3 linked regions of the Drosophila melanogaster genome follow. The protein of the gene in region 2 interacts with the protein of the main gene of each other region in a pairwise test. Each region holds a gene or a part of one and is shown on either strand. Other genes may lie near its edges.

Region 1 (4,371 bases), on a different chromosome or scaffold from region 2:
ATGGGGTTTACGAAAGTTAACGCAGCTATTGCGTCACAGAAACGCGGCGCACTACCAGTTTCCTCTTTATTTTTGAGGCAATCACATACCTGTGGCGTGGCGTGTGCCATTTTTTAAGGAACGAACTAGCAGTTTACTGTTATTATTCACTATTAAAACTATAGTGGCAGTTTAAACTTGGCTATTAAACTATATTTTCCCTGATTTTGGCTAGGCCAACGGCGCTCTTCCTCTTCCTGTTTGGAAAAAACAGCTGTTCGTATGTGAATGGCTGGCAGCCAGGGTTGCCAGGTTTGAAAAGTATTTCGGAGACAGAGCTTCGTTCAATTTAGTTTTGTGAAATTTAGAAATGCTCGGCAAAAAATTGAGTTTCGAAGTAGTTCAACTTATTTATTATAATCAATATATGAAACAGTGCGCCAAGCCATACTCCGGCATAAGTACCATTCACGAGTAGCAAGAAATAAATTTATGCTGTCGGCAATTAAAATCGAAAAGCGGCTTACTTTCGCTATCAGAATGTAACATGTAAGTTACTAATGTATTAACAATTAAATATCCTTGAAAGAAACGCGATTTATTTTGACTACGTATAAAGCTTTTAGCAAATGCAATTAATTTTTTGGAAATTCTCACGCGGTTAGCCCAGCCTTGTTCAACCTGGCCTTAATCGTGTTTATCTTGAGCGGCAACAGCTGGAGCATTTCACGCACAACACCAATCTCGCCCTGCAGCGTCTCGGCCGCCTCCTTGTGCAGCTGGCAACCAGCATCGAATCTCTGGTAGTAGGTGTGGCAACTAGTTAGGTGCTCCAGCTGCTGGAGCGGATGGCCACTGATCAGCTTGTAGTAGATGCGACCGATGTGGAAGTGGGCGTAGAGCATGTGGCGTTGCTCCTCCACGTCCATGTTGGGTCGCCATTCCTCGCTGGGCGGTTTGACCAGATAGGATTTGACATAGCTCTCAAAGTGCTTGATGGCCTTCATACAGCTCTGATTGACCTTCTTGATGTCCTCCGGCGCTGGCGTGCTAGTGGCCCGAATGATGTCGAGACGGACATCCATCACGGCAGCATGAGCTGTGCCGGCTCCATACCAGCATTCTCGGCATATCTTCATGTAAAAGATGGGGTCAAGCAGATCCAAAAGATCTTCCAGATACTTGGCGCGACGCTTTTGCATCTTGGCCTGGTTTTCTGGATTCTCCTCGAAGAAGGCAATGTGCTCATACGCTTCGGCGTAATCCTGCATTATCTTTGAATACTCAGTAGCTTCGTTCTCGGCCTTGTAATAGTCCTTGGCTATGTCGAGCCACTCGTTCACAAAATGAAACACCAACTTGGCATCGTCGAAGGTCAGGCAGTATTCACAACTAATACGATTTTCACACGCGGTGAGGTCAAGTCCAGGAAACCGGGACTGTTCCGCCTCGACCAGCCGCATATTGCGCAGAACGATCTCCAGGTTCTTGGCATCCTCGTCATCTTCGTCCCGCATCAGCCGAAGCTTGGATGTGTTCATTAAATACAATCCATATTTGGCCCAACAGCGTGCCACATCGGCGTAGCGATGTTTAAAGGTCTCCGACACGTCCTGGCGCTGCTTCTCGCTCATCTCCGGCTCCAGCATGTGCACCTCATATTCGGCCATGATGAGCGTAGCAGCGGCCAGGTGATGACGGGCCTCCTCGAAGCGCTTCTCTCCAATATAGAACTGTGACAAGGTGGCGGTGTTCAGTGCGAAATCAATGGGATCGTATGTTTTTGACTCAAGCTGTCGATGGAGGGTGCGATGGCAGCACTTGGCCGACTTTTCCGGCTCACCCAAATGCCCGTACATTTGCGCCATGTAAAATGAGACTAGCGTGTACAGGGATTCCAGTTCCTTGGGACCAGCTTCGTGAGATTGTTGTCCCTCCTCCGGAGGATTGAACACATCTTGAATGGCCAGGGGCTTCAGACCACTGGCTTTGAAGTCCTCGTAGATTTTTTCTGCCTCCAGGAGAATTTCCAGTCCCTTATTGTACTCTTCCTTGGAGGCCAGCACAATGCTAAGCTCGTTGATTGCCCCAATGAATGGAATGATGCCCTCAGGGCACTCCTTAAACGGCGTGACTAGTTCCAGACAACGATTGAGCATCTTTTCGCCCTCTGCCTGCTCCTCTGTGTAGATGTAGATCCTGCCTAGATCCCGGCAAACGAAGGCCAACAGAGAGTGATAGCAGCGATCGTCCTGACCACCGTCCTCCTCGCTGGCCTGCACAGATACCAGTTGGTCGTCCAGCTGCTTCTTCAAGACAATTAGCACATCGCGCGCTTTATAATGGGAGCGGAATGGATCCGTGGGCGGATCATTGCGGCTCTCCTCCTCCACCAGACGGTTGGCCTTCTCGTATAGCTCCTTGAAGTCGCTTAGGATCTCCTTTGGAATGACCATGTTGGCTGAGCACCCACGGTGCAGGCAAAAGCTATCCTGAATTCGGCAAAGCCTTTTTATTTACTATATTTTTTCTCTATGAGTGTGTAGTGTGGCCGTATTGTGACTGCTTAAACTTTACCTGAGACCCAAACCATGAAAGAATATTTTATTTAAAATCTCAAACTAAATTAATTTGAACTATGTACAAGTAAGGTATTTTCAAAAAGTACATAACACAACCATAAACGCCTCTAATATAAACTTGAAGGCATAAAATGTTTATATAAACAAAACAGCTTAGTGTGACCGTTGCGCAGCAACCTCTATGTCGCAACCCTGGAATTAATTGCTGGTATTATAACGTATTCGATTACAGTCACACCGCATCGACTTTCAGATTTTTTTCGCGTCGCAAATTTTTGGAATATACCAAAATATTTACCACCATCAGCTATTAAAGACTGCTTTTGGCGCTCATCTTTCAAAGAATACTTTTCCACAAATCAGACAAGCTTCATCCGAAAGCGGGCACAATGCTGAAGGGTTACAAGACGGATGAGGACAAGAAGGTGAAGCGACTGTACCACCAACGCTATCGCACAGAGTGGGAGAAATATCCGGAGCTCTCCAGCTGGCTGGCGTCTAGTAATGACGGTTACTCGGCGCACTGCAAGATCTGCGACATCAATGTCCTCGCCAGACTAGCGTCCATCAAGCAGCACCTCGCAACGCGGAAACACCAGGAAAGTTTCAAGTACCACAACATTCTTGCCAAGGTGGGATTGGGTTTGTGCATAAGCAATAGGAATGACCCGTGTCCATTATTGATTCAAATATTTTGCGATCCAAACTAAATTTCAAACACGATTTTTGTGTGAGTTTTCGCCATACTTTTCGTTAACTATTCCATTGACTACTTCTTGTGCAATGGTTAACCAAACCAGTAGCTCCCTCTATGCGATGCACAACTTATCGCTCCAAAAAAAAAATTCTCATCTCATTACTAATTTACATAAAATTAACAACTCCGTATTTATACCTACAGAATATGATTAAGGGTGAACTTGTCAAAGATGAGCATGACCCAGACTTGGAGGCCTCCATAATTTCACCCAAAGCAAAGCCCAAAGCCAAATCAAAGACCTATCCAAGGCAAAAGCCAAGGAGCAAAATGCAGCCAAAGATCAAGAACGACACGAAGGTGGAGAGCATGGAGGAGGAGACGGAGGAGGACGAAATCGCCTCGAACGACTCAATCCTGGATGATTTACTCAGAACAGATCAGCCCTATCAAGAGCAAGAATTTGAGGTTGAGAACGAGTTCCTCGAAGTACAACAGAATGAAACAGATCTCCAGGACCAAGAGGTGGTCTACGAGGAAGAGATGATACAGCTCAAGCCGGAAGATACGGAGATTAATAACGAATACCAAGTCGACGCGATGACGGAAGACACCATTATTAGTGAATTTGACTTGTTTGGCAAGAGTTTGGCTCTGCAGCTGAACAACATGGACCTGGAGGACGCACTAATGTGCCAGGAGCGTCTGCAGGTGGTCCTAACGGAATTTCGCCTGAAGGTGCTCAAGCGCAAGAGAGAGCAAGCACGATCTTCGTAGGCTTACAATTTATATCAAGCTGTCTTATGTACATAATATAATTTCTTTAACAACTAAATAAATAACTATTCTGCCTCAATTTCGTCAATTAGCGCCCGGCACTTTCTCTTCAATACCTTGACCGCCTCCAGGAAGATGACATCGGGCTTCAGTGCGCCGACTGATTCCACGGAGAAAATGTAGTGATCTCGGATACGGGCCAAAGTCACAGCGTCGTTTAGCTGGGGATAGCGATACACATTTCGGCTGCACGTGTCGTAGCGTGCATCCTTTACATAGGCAGTTTCATTCTCGTCAATGCCAATTACTCCTGGTGAGAAACAGTTCTGTAATAGG
Region 2 (5,158 bases):
AACGCCGCCTTGGTCACCGGATTGCCTAGCCACTGCCTCACTGTACGAAGGCGGCGCCGGTGGTGGAGGCACGTCTGCAGTGGCTGCCTCTGCGGATGCCGAAACAGTGGACGGGTCTGAGTTGGCTGCTCCTGGACCACTGCATACCACATCATCGCTGGACGGAGGCGCGAACACATCCTCTTCCAGTTGGCTACTGTCCGAGGCCGGATCGGAACTATTGCTTTGTCGGGCGCCTGTCGCCGCACTCTGATGCTTGTCCTGCACGGACATCACGATCTGCCAGGCGCCCTCGCGGGTTGTCGGGGAACTGTCTCCGGGATAGACGTATTTGATTGCCTTTTGCTCCAGCAAAAGTTTGTACTGCTGCTTCAGGGAGGAAGTTATCTGAAAGACGGTAAACCATATTCTATCATCTGGAAATCTATATTAGTAGAATAGTTCCTTACCAGCAGCATAACACCATCGTAGGCTTTATCTTTGCAGATAACCAGGCGCATCACAGATCCGTTTTCGATGGCAGTGCTCGCAATCATGGGGCAGTTGGGACTCAGGCCCACAAAGCAGATGGAGCCATCCGAGTAGCCGATAATGGCCCTATTCTGTCCACTGTTGGTCTTCCACCAGACGACGGACAAGGGATAGGGGCAGGTCTTGGACGCCATGAAAGAGGCTGCCATCACCTGGCTATTGCCGGTGGTATCGATCGTCTGCTGCTGCTGCGGCAGTGGCTGCACTGCATCCTCAGTTCCGCTATTTCGCACCAGCATGTGCTCGGGCAGGTCGTGGCCAAGAGGCTCCTCCTCTTCGCCTTCCTGCAACCTGGCCTGCTCTAGGTTCTCAGCCAACTGATCCATTGGCTCCGCCGTGGACTCTTCCAGACCGGTGGAGTGATTGGGGCACTTTTTGGAGTTGGGACACTCGTGGGGGCCCACAAAGGGGATGATGTAGGAGGTGACCTGGGTGGTGCTGTAGAGCGAGCAGGCGGACAGTCCATGGGCCTTGTCCACCAACGCCAGGGCGGGCACGATGTGCAGTGTGTTGTCGAAACCTGTTGACAGAGCAGTGGATAAGTGGTGTTTGAGCAAGGACTCCATTCGATCGTTAAATCAAAACAAAGGGGAGGCAGCAGAAAATCAATAACCATACACGCACACATGGGGGCAAAGTAATTTTAGCAGCACCACCACAGCAACCACCCACCCAACACAAAAAAGTGGGTGGTGCTCATGCCATCATACGCTGAAACTCACATAGCACCAGCAGCCAAACGCCCGCCGGATCGAAGCAGACGTCGTGGATGACGCGGTTGCGGAACCAGGATATCATCTTGACCACCTCCTGGCCGGAGGCGGCGCTTATGTAGCGCAGCAGGATCTCGTTTTCCTCAGAAACGAGGCATAGGAACTGTCGCTTTTCGTCCAGCCCCGCTGTCACCGCGGACAGCTTGCAGCTGATGTTAGTGATCAGCGGGCGCAGCTCGAACATGCCCAGCTCCTTGAGCTCCGCCTGCCCCGACATCTCGGGGGGATTGGCGGACGTGGGGGAAGCCAATTTTAAAATTCACAAAATCAGTTCGATGGGAACGAGCCTTTTCCAATCCGAATGAAAACAAACTAGAGATGGTCGCGTGAGACCTGCGGCCGGTCTGGCAACGACCCGATCACGCAACTGCTTTCCAACTGGAACGCAATTTCCACAGCTTTTTCGAGGCAACAAATAAATTTCAGAATAGCGCGGCCTTCCTTCACACCGCACAAGCTCGCAAAAAGAAAGCAAAACGCTTTCAAGAAGTTCGCCCCGGATTGCCGCAACCGTCCGGCAACGACACTAGTGCTGCGCACAAGACTTCACTCTTCAGGCTGTTGAACAGTCCGCCGCGACTTTTCCACAAAATGAACGGTTCGAATGCAACAGCCACCGTATTTCACACCCGCTTGGGTGAGTTTCACGCGCCGAAAACCTGCGGGATGCACGAGTCAAGGCGAAAATTTGTGCCCGAGGGCCAAAGCTGCAGCACTGAAAACATCTGATTGACAAACTGGAAGTCGTCTTGGCTGGCAACGCCGTACTCTCCCGACAAATGGTCACACTGCCCCAGAGCATCCCTGCAATCAAAAATAACGGCGGGAATCGACGGCGTCGCTTGTCAACAACGCAAAACTAATTGATAAAATCGGTTGCAAGGAGGCAGACGTATCTTCTAAGTTAGGCACAACACAGTTGGCGATGGAATCCCGGCTACCGAAACCGTCGGGCCTGAAGAAACCCCAAATGCCGATTAAAACCGTGCTGCCCACAGATCGAATTCGCGCAGGATTGGGAGGTGGAGCCGCTGGAGCAGGCGCCTTCAATGTCAATGCCAACCAGACATACTGCGGCAACTTATTGCCGCCCCTCTCAAGGGACCTCAACAATCTGCCCCAGGTGCTGGAGCGTCGCGGAGGAGGAGGTGAGTAAAGAAGCATCCTTCCAAAGAATTCACCTTAAGTCCTTGCTAATTTCCGATAGCACGTGCCGCCTCCCCAGAGCCCATGAAGTTGGGCCACCGGGCCAAGCTGAGACGTAGCCGTAGCGCTTGCGACATCAACGAACTGCGTGGTAACAAGCGCACTGCGGCTGCTCCTTCATTGCCCAGCATTCCCAGCAAAGTATCCCGCCTGGGCGGTGCACTCACTGTTTCCAGCCAGCGACTAGTGCGTCCTGCGGCGCCTTCGTCAATAACAGCAACAGCTGTCAAAAGACCACCAGTAACGCGTCCTGCTCCACGGGCTGCAGGAGGAGCAGCCGCCAAGAAACCAGCAGGAACAGGAGCAGCAGCTTCGTCAGGAGCCGCGGCTGCTGCTCCCAAGCGCATCGCTCCCTACGACTTCAAGGCCCGCTTCCACGATCTGCTAGAGAAGCACAAGGTGCTTAAGACAAAGTACGAAAAGCAAACAGAGGACATGGGCGAGCTGGAGTCCATGCCTCAGCAACTGGAGGAGACGCAGAACAAGCTTATCGAGACGGAGTCCTCGCTGAAGAACACCCAGAGCGACAACGAGTGTCTTCAGAGGCAGGTGAAGCAGCATACCGCCAAAATTGAAACAATCACATCGACGCTGGGCAGGACCAAAGAGGAGCTATCCGAGCTGCAAGCAATACATGAGGTGAGTACTCAAGTAAACAGAAACCCAGGTTAAATGTAACAACAATGTGTGTGTTGCAGAAAGTAAAAACGGAGCATGCTGCTCTAAGCACAGAAGTGGTGCATCTGCGCCAGCGCACCGAGGAACTCCTGCGCTGCAATGAGCAGCAGGCCGCCGAGCTGGAGACCTGCAAAGAGCAGCTCTTCCAGTCGAACATGGAGCGCAAAGAGCTGCACAACACGGTCATGGACCTGCGCGGCAACATCCGGGTCTTCTGTCGAATACGACCGCCGCTGGAGTCCGAGGAGAACCGTATGTGTTGCACCTGGACCTATCACGACGAGTCCACCGTGGAGCTGCAGAGCATTGACGCACAGGCCAAAAGCAAGATGGGCCAGCAGATCTTCTCATTCGACCAGGTCTTCCACCCGCTCTCCTCGCAGTCGGACATCTTCGAGATGGTCTCGCCGCTCATCCAGTCGGCCCTGGATGGCTACAATATCTGCATCTTTGCCTACGGACAGACGGGCAGTGGCAAGACCTACACAATGGACGGAGTGCCGGAGAGTGTGGGCGTCATACCGCGCACGGTGGATCTGCTCTTCGACTCCATCCGGGGATATCGCAACTTGGGCTGGGAGTACGAGATCAAGGCCACCTTTCTGGAGATCTACAACGAGGTGCTCTACGATCTGCTGAGCAACGAGCAGAAGGACATGGAGATTCGAATGGCCAAGAACAACAAGAACGACATCTACGTGTCCAACATAACGGAGGAGACGGTTCTGGATCCAAATCACCTGCGCCACCTCATGCACACGGCCAAGATGAACCGTGCCACCGCCTCGACAGCTGGCAACGAGCGCTCCTCTCGTTCCCACGCGGTTACCAAGCTTGAGCTCATCGGACGCCATGCCGAAAAGCAAGAGATCTCCGTGGGTTCCATAAACCTGGTGGATTTGGCCGGCTCTGAGTCTCCCAAGACGAGCACCCGGATGACCGAGACAAAGAACATCAATCGCTCGCTATCGGAGCTCACCAACGTAATCCTGGCGCTGCTGCAGAAGCAGGACCACATCCCGTACAGGAACTCCAAGCTGACGCACCTGCTGATGCCCTCGCTGGGCGGCAACTCGAAAACGCTTATGTTCATCAACGTCTCGCCGTTCCAAGACTGTTTCCAAGAGTCCGTCAAGTCGCTGCGCTTCGCGGCCTCCGTAAACTCCTGCAAAATGACCAAGGCCAAGCGGAATCGCTACCTGAACAACTCGGTGGCCAACAGCAGCACACAGAGCAACAACAGCGGCAGTTTCGATAAATAAAGAATGCATTCTGAGCCCAGTTTTAACAATTTTCAAATTTCTAACCTGTTATTGCTTAATTTATGTGTGTTTACTTTTAGTGCAAATAAACTAATAAAGTGCTGGAATTCAAAGCTATCTCACTTGGCTCCCACTGCTGCCCGCACCTCGGCGGGAATCTTTTCCACCAGCGCGGCATGGTCCTGTCCCAGGCTGGCCAGCACTCCCTGTCGATTCACGTGCTCCACATCCGCATTGTAGGCGTAGTGCTCGCCGTTGATGTTGGTGAGGCAGCCGCCCTGGGCCTCTAGAACGGCCTCGGGTGCGCAGGTGTCCCACTTCTTGCAGCCCGGCGTGGCGAAGACGTACGCGTGGGCCTTTCCCTCCAGCAGCTGGAGCACTTTGAACCCAGCGCCTCCGACTTTCAGAACTTCTGTGGATGCGAATGCGTTGAGGGCTTGCTGATGCAGGGCATTGGAATGCGAGCGAGTGGTGGTTATGATGAACTGGCCGGCTGGCGCGGGGACTGCCGTGAATCCTCCCGTGCCCAGACCCTTCAGGCCCCAAATGGTGCGACCCATTTCGCCATCGGGCTGTTGGTAGAATGGCTGATGAATGATGCCGCCCACAGCAGCATCCTTCACGGCTATGCCGATCAGGACGGTCACGTGTTCAACGTGTCCTGCGGATGAAAGGAGAACATTTAGTTTTATATAAGGAGCTCTACAG
Region 3 (2,963 bases), on a different chromosome or scaffold from region 2:
GAAAGAGCGGAGCAAAACAAACCCACCGATGAGTGAGTTTGCTTTGAGTGAGAGAGCAGAGAGCCTGAGTCAACAGGTTGTTTTGCTGGTTGGGTCACTTAACCTCGTTACTCTTTGTATTCCTCTGTGGGTCACACGGGGCGTATGTGCAATATGGCTCACTCGGTGCGTATGTGTGGCGTATATGGCTCAAGTTTGCCGACAAATCGCCGACAAATTGTTTAGGAACATGGATGCTGGCTACGCACACGACTTGGATTACCAGTTGGGATTGTCTTTAACCCAGGCTGTGGGTTGTCACAGTGCGTATACGTGATTTTGTCTTGACTTTTCTGCAGGACAATTTGTGCGGATGTTGGCGTGCTTTTCTCTTTTCTTTCTGTTCATAATTTTGTATTTTTATGGTCATCCTAAGTTTTTTCGTTTCAAGGGTTTTAACATTTCGAACGTCTTAGAAACTTTCCCACAACTATAAACTGAAGAAAGAGACAATGGGTTTTGTCATTTCACCATGCAAATTTAATTGAATCGATAAAAAATATAAAACATTTGTAGCCCTGACCACCTTATTATTCCTTTTAAATGTGTGAGGTGGAATTGACAACGCATTAAATTAAGACGTTAGTAATCGAATTGGTGCGGTCTTGGATCCTATTTAAAATGGTTACTGGTCTTCTGTTATGTTTATATCAATAGAATCCGGCACATCTTTTGGATATTGCTGATTAAAATCAGACGCTGCAAGACTACGGTCATTCAGAACTTCTGTCTCGTCGGAACTCGGATCCAAGTCGAGAAACGCCTTGGAGATCATTTTGGGATTTAGTTCGGCATCCAGGTCGTTGTTCTCAACTATTTTAATCAAAATTTCCAGGAGCAATTCACAACACTTCTTTTCGTAGCCCATAACATTGGAAATGGCATTATGGATTGTGTCCTTCATTTTTAACAGCTCTTGATTCAAGTTTTCGATATCAACTAGAGCTTTCTGGGAACTGGCCAAAGAAACAGCAATGCGACGTCCCAGATCCTCGTGCTCCAGGCGCATATTGGTGGCATTTTCCCGAAGACATTGCAGCCAAATAGAACGCTTGGCCATTCCCCTCATGTTCATTGTGAGCGTACAAAATATACAGATTTTATTTGAATTTATTTTATGTGTGAATATCTGATTACTTTCAGGGCGTCAATAGTACTGGGAAACCTATTTTAGATCCATAGAAATGACACAGAGGCAACTGGGAATGAGTAGCCTGCTTGGGTGGCGCTACAATAAGATGACTGACATCAATTATATTAATTATCAGAGTAAGCCGATTAGCTGGCTAATGAATTAAACATCATGGGAATTTCCCGGCCCATCCTGAAGGCGACAAATCAATGTCACTTAAAACATATAATTATCATCATTAGCCGCCCAAAAGCATCGCACTCCTCATGAACCTAACTTTTATTACAGACTATTTTGCCAAGCTGATGGTGCTCGGTGTTGCATTCATAATTGATTGTCCTGTGGGCAAACGTGTCCTTTGCCTTTGCGTCCTTCGCAAGATAAGCACTTAAGCTAAATGAAAGCAGATGTCTTAATTTTCATTTAAGTTGCTGACAAAGAGATTTCTAAGCTGCTCTGTCAATGCCTTTATCTGCGACCTTCCTGGTTAATTTTTTATTTCGAATGTGCGAACGTAAATGAAAAAACGCTTGGTAATTGGTCAAAGCTCTTGATTCCGGTCCAAAGCAAAGGATTTCATTTTTAATGAGAAGCAAATATGTTCAGCCCTAATTGGATTAATGGGAAGTCCTGCGGGATCTAAACGGCTTGCGGTCTAGGTCAGAGTCAATGCGATAGGGGCGTTTTTTGAGTGAAAATGTTCGCTTTGTTAACAATTTAACAACTTTGTTGGGAATGGCTTAAAATTTTGTTGGAGAAGAAGGATTAAATCATCTATATGTGATGATGAAAAGCCTATTTATATATATATTATGTTATACTCGCATTCAAGAGATTTAAACACTAAAAGATCATATCTCTATATTCTAAGAGCTTTTCATGAATTTTGATTTTTATAATTAAAAAGGCGCAACTCGTTGTGAACATTGTTGTAGGCAAATGAAAAGTCCTTTTTAACCGGCACGATAATTAAATCATGCTCAAACAGAATTTGAACTGAAATCTCCATCATCGGTTTAACTTTTCTTCCGTTTCCTCCGACCGGAAAAAGCTCTTCCTTAGCTGTCAACTGGTAAATGCCGAATTCTATCAATTTGTCATTCAATCATTGCACGAACGTTGCTAAGCCGACTATGCAAATTGAAGTCAAGAGGCATTAAGTCCAATCCCAAAACTAAAACGCTACTCCATGACACAATTGTCAGGGTTTTATCGGCTTATTTCTATGCATGAGTGCAGACACTCACAAGGACACGTTTATACCCACACAAATGCAGAACACTTTTTGAAAAGGAAGAAGCTTTGGCAATTTTCCGATTATTTTTTCTTCCATGTCGAACTTATGTGAATGCATATATAAGAACATCAATCTTTTTTGTTAGTCTGAATTAAGAGAACTTTATTTCTGATGTGGATTGCAAATACTATTCGATTTTAAAGTCGAATTCATATTTAAGAGACTAAGGACGTGTTGACTTTTGTTTATAGTGAAGTTCAAAATGTACCTTATTTATTTATTTTTTTTCTTTTATATATATTTGCCTCAATAAAGAACCTACAAACACCTTACATATAAACACTATAAACCTGAATATGTATGAAAAAATAATTGAAACCAGTTTGATTGATTGGCTGAAATATAGCAGTTAACTAAGGTTCTGCGCTTTTGATTATTTTGCATCCCCATTTGGAGCTTTCTAAAATTGATGTGCGGTTGGCAGGTGATTTATTGCGGCTTGAAAAGAAAAGGGACTATTTATTTCTCTGCCTGTGCTTGCTTATCAAGTTTCGG

What was found.
Region 1: the proteins of ncd (region 2) and CG14043 interact in a two-hybrid assay, tested with the Drosophila melanogaster proteins (one large-scale study listed by BioGRID).
Region 3: the proteins of ncd (region 2) and CG13476 interact in a two-hybrid assay, tested with the Drosophila melanogaster proteins (one large-scale study listed by BioGRID).

What each region holds. Positions count from the first base shown.
Region 1 is NT_033779.5:4,969,876-4,974,246, reverse strand, and holds CG14043 (uncharacterized protein), read right to left. Parts: upstream 2,546-4,371; 5' UTR 2,436-2,545; coding exon 633-2,435; 3' UTR 560-632; downstream 1-559. Other genes in the region: mRpL28 (mitochondrial ribosomal protein L28), read right to left, coding at 90-110; l(2)05714 (lethal (2) 05714), read left to right, coding at 2,951-3,193, 3,463-4,035; Polr1C (RNA polymerase I and III subunit C), read right to left, coding at 4,101-4,371.
Region 2 is NT_033777.3:29,803,698-29,808,855, reverse strand, and holds ncd (non-claret disjunctional), read left to right. Parts: upstream 1-1,728; 5' UTR 1,729-2,229; coding exon 2,230-2,452; intron 2,453-2,511; coding exon 2,512-3,149; intron 3,150-3,208; coding exon 3,209-4,450; 3' UTR 4,451-4,566; downstream 4,567-5,158. Other genes in the region: ca (claret), read right to left, coding at 1-387, 450-1,051, 1,254-1,521; CG7789 (uncharacterized protein), read right to left, coding at 4,570-5,111. UniProt on the Drosophila melanogaster protein: Minus-end-directed microtubule-based motor protein. Has ATPase activity. Required for normal chromosomal segregation in meiosis in females, and in early mitotic divisions of the embryo.
Region 3 is NT_037436.4:14,703,695-14,706,657, reverse strand, and holds CG13476 (uncharacterized protein), read right to left. Parts: upstream 1,195-2,963; 5' UTR 1,115-1,194; coding exon 665-1,114; 3' UTR 501-664; downstream 1-500.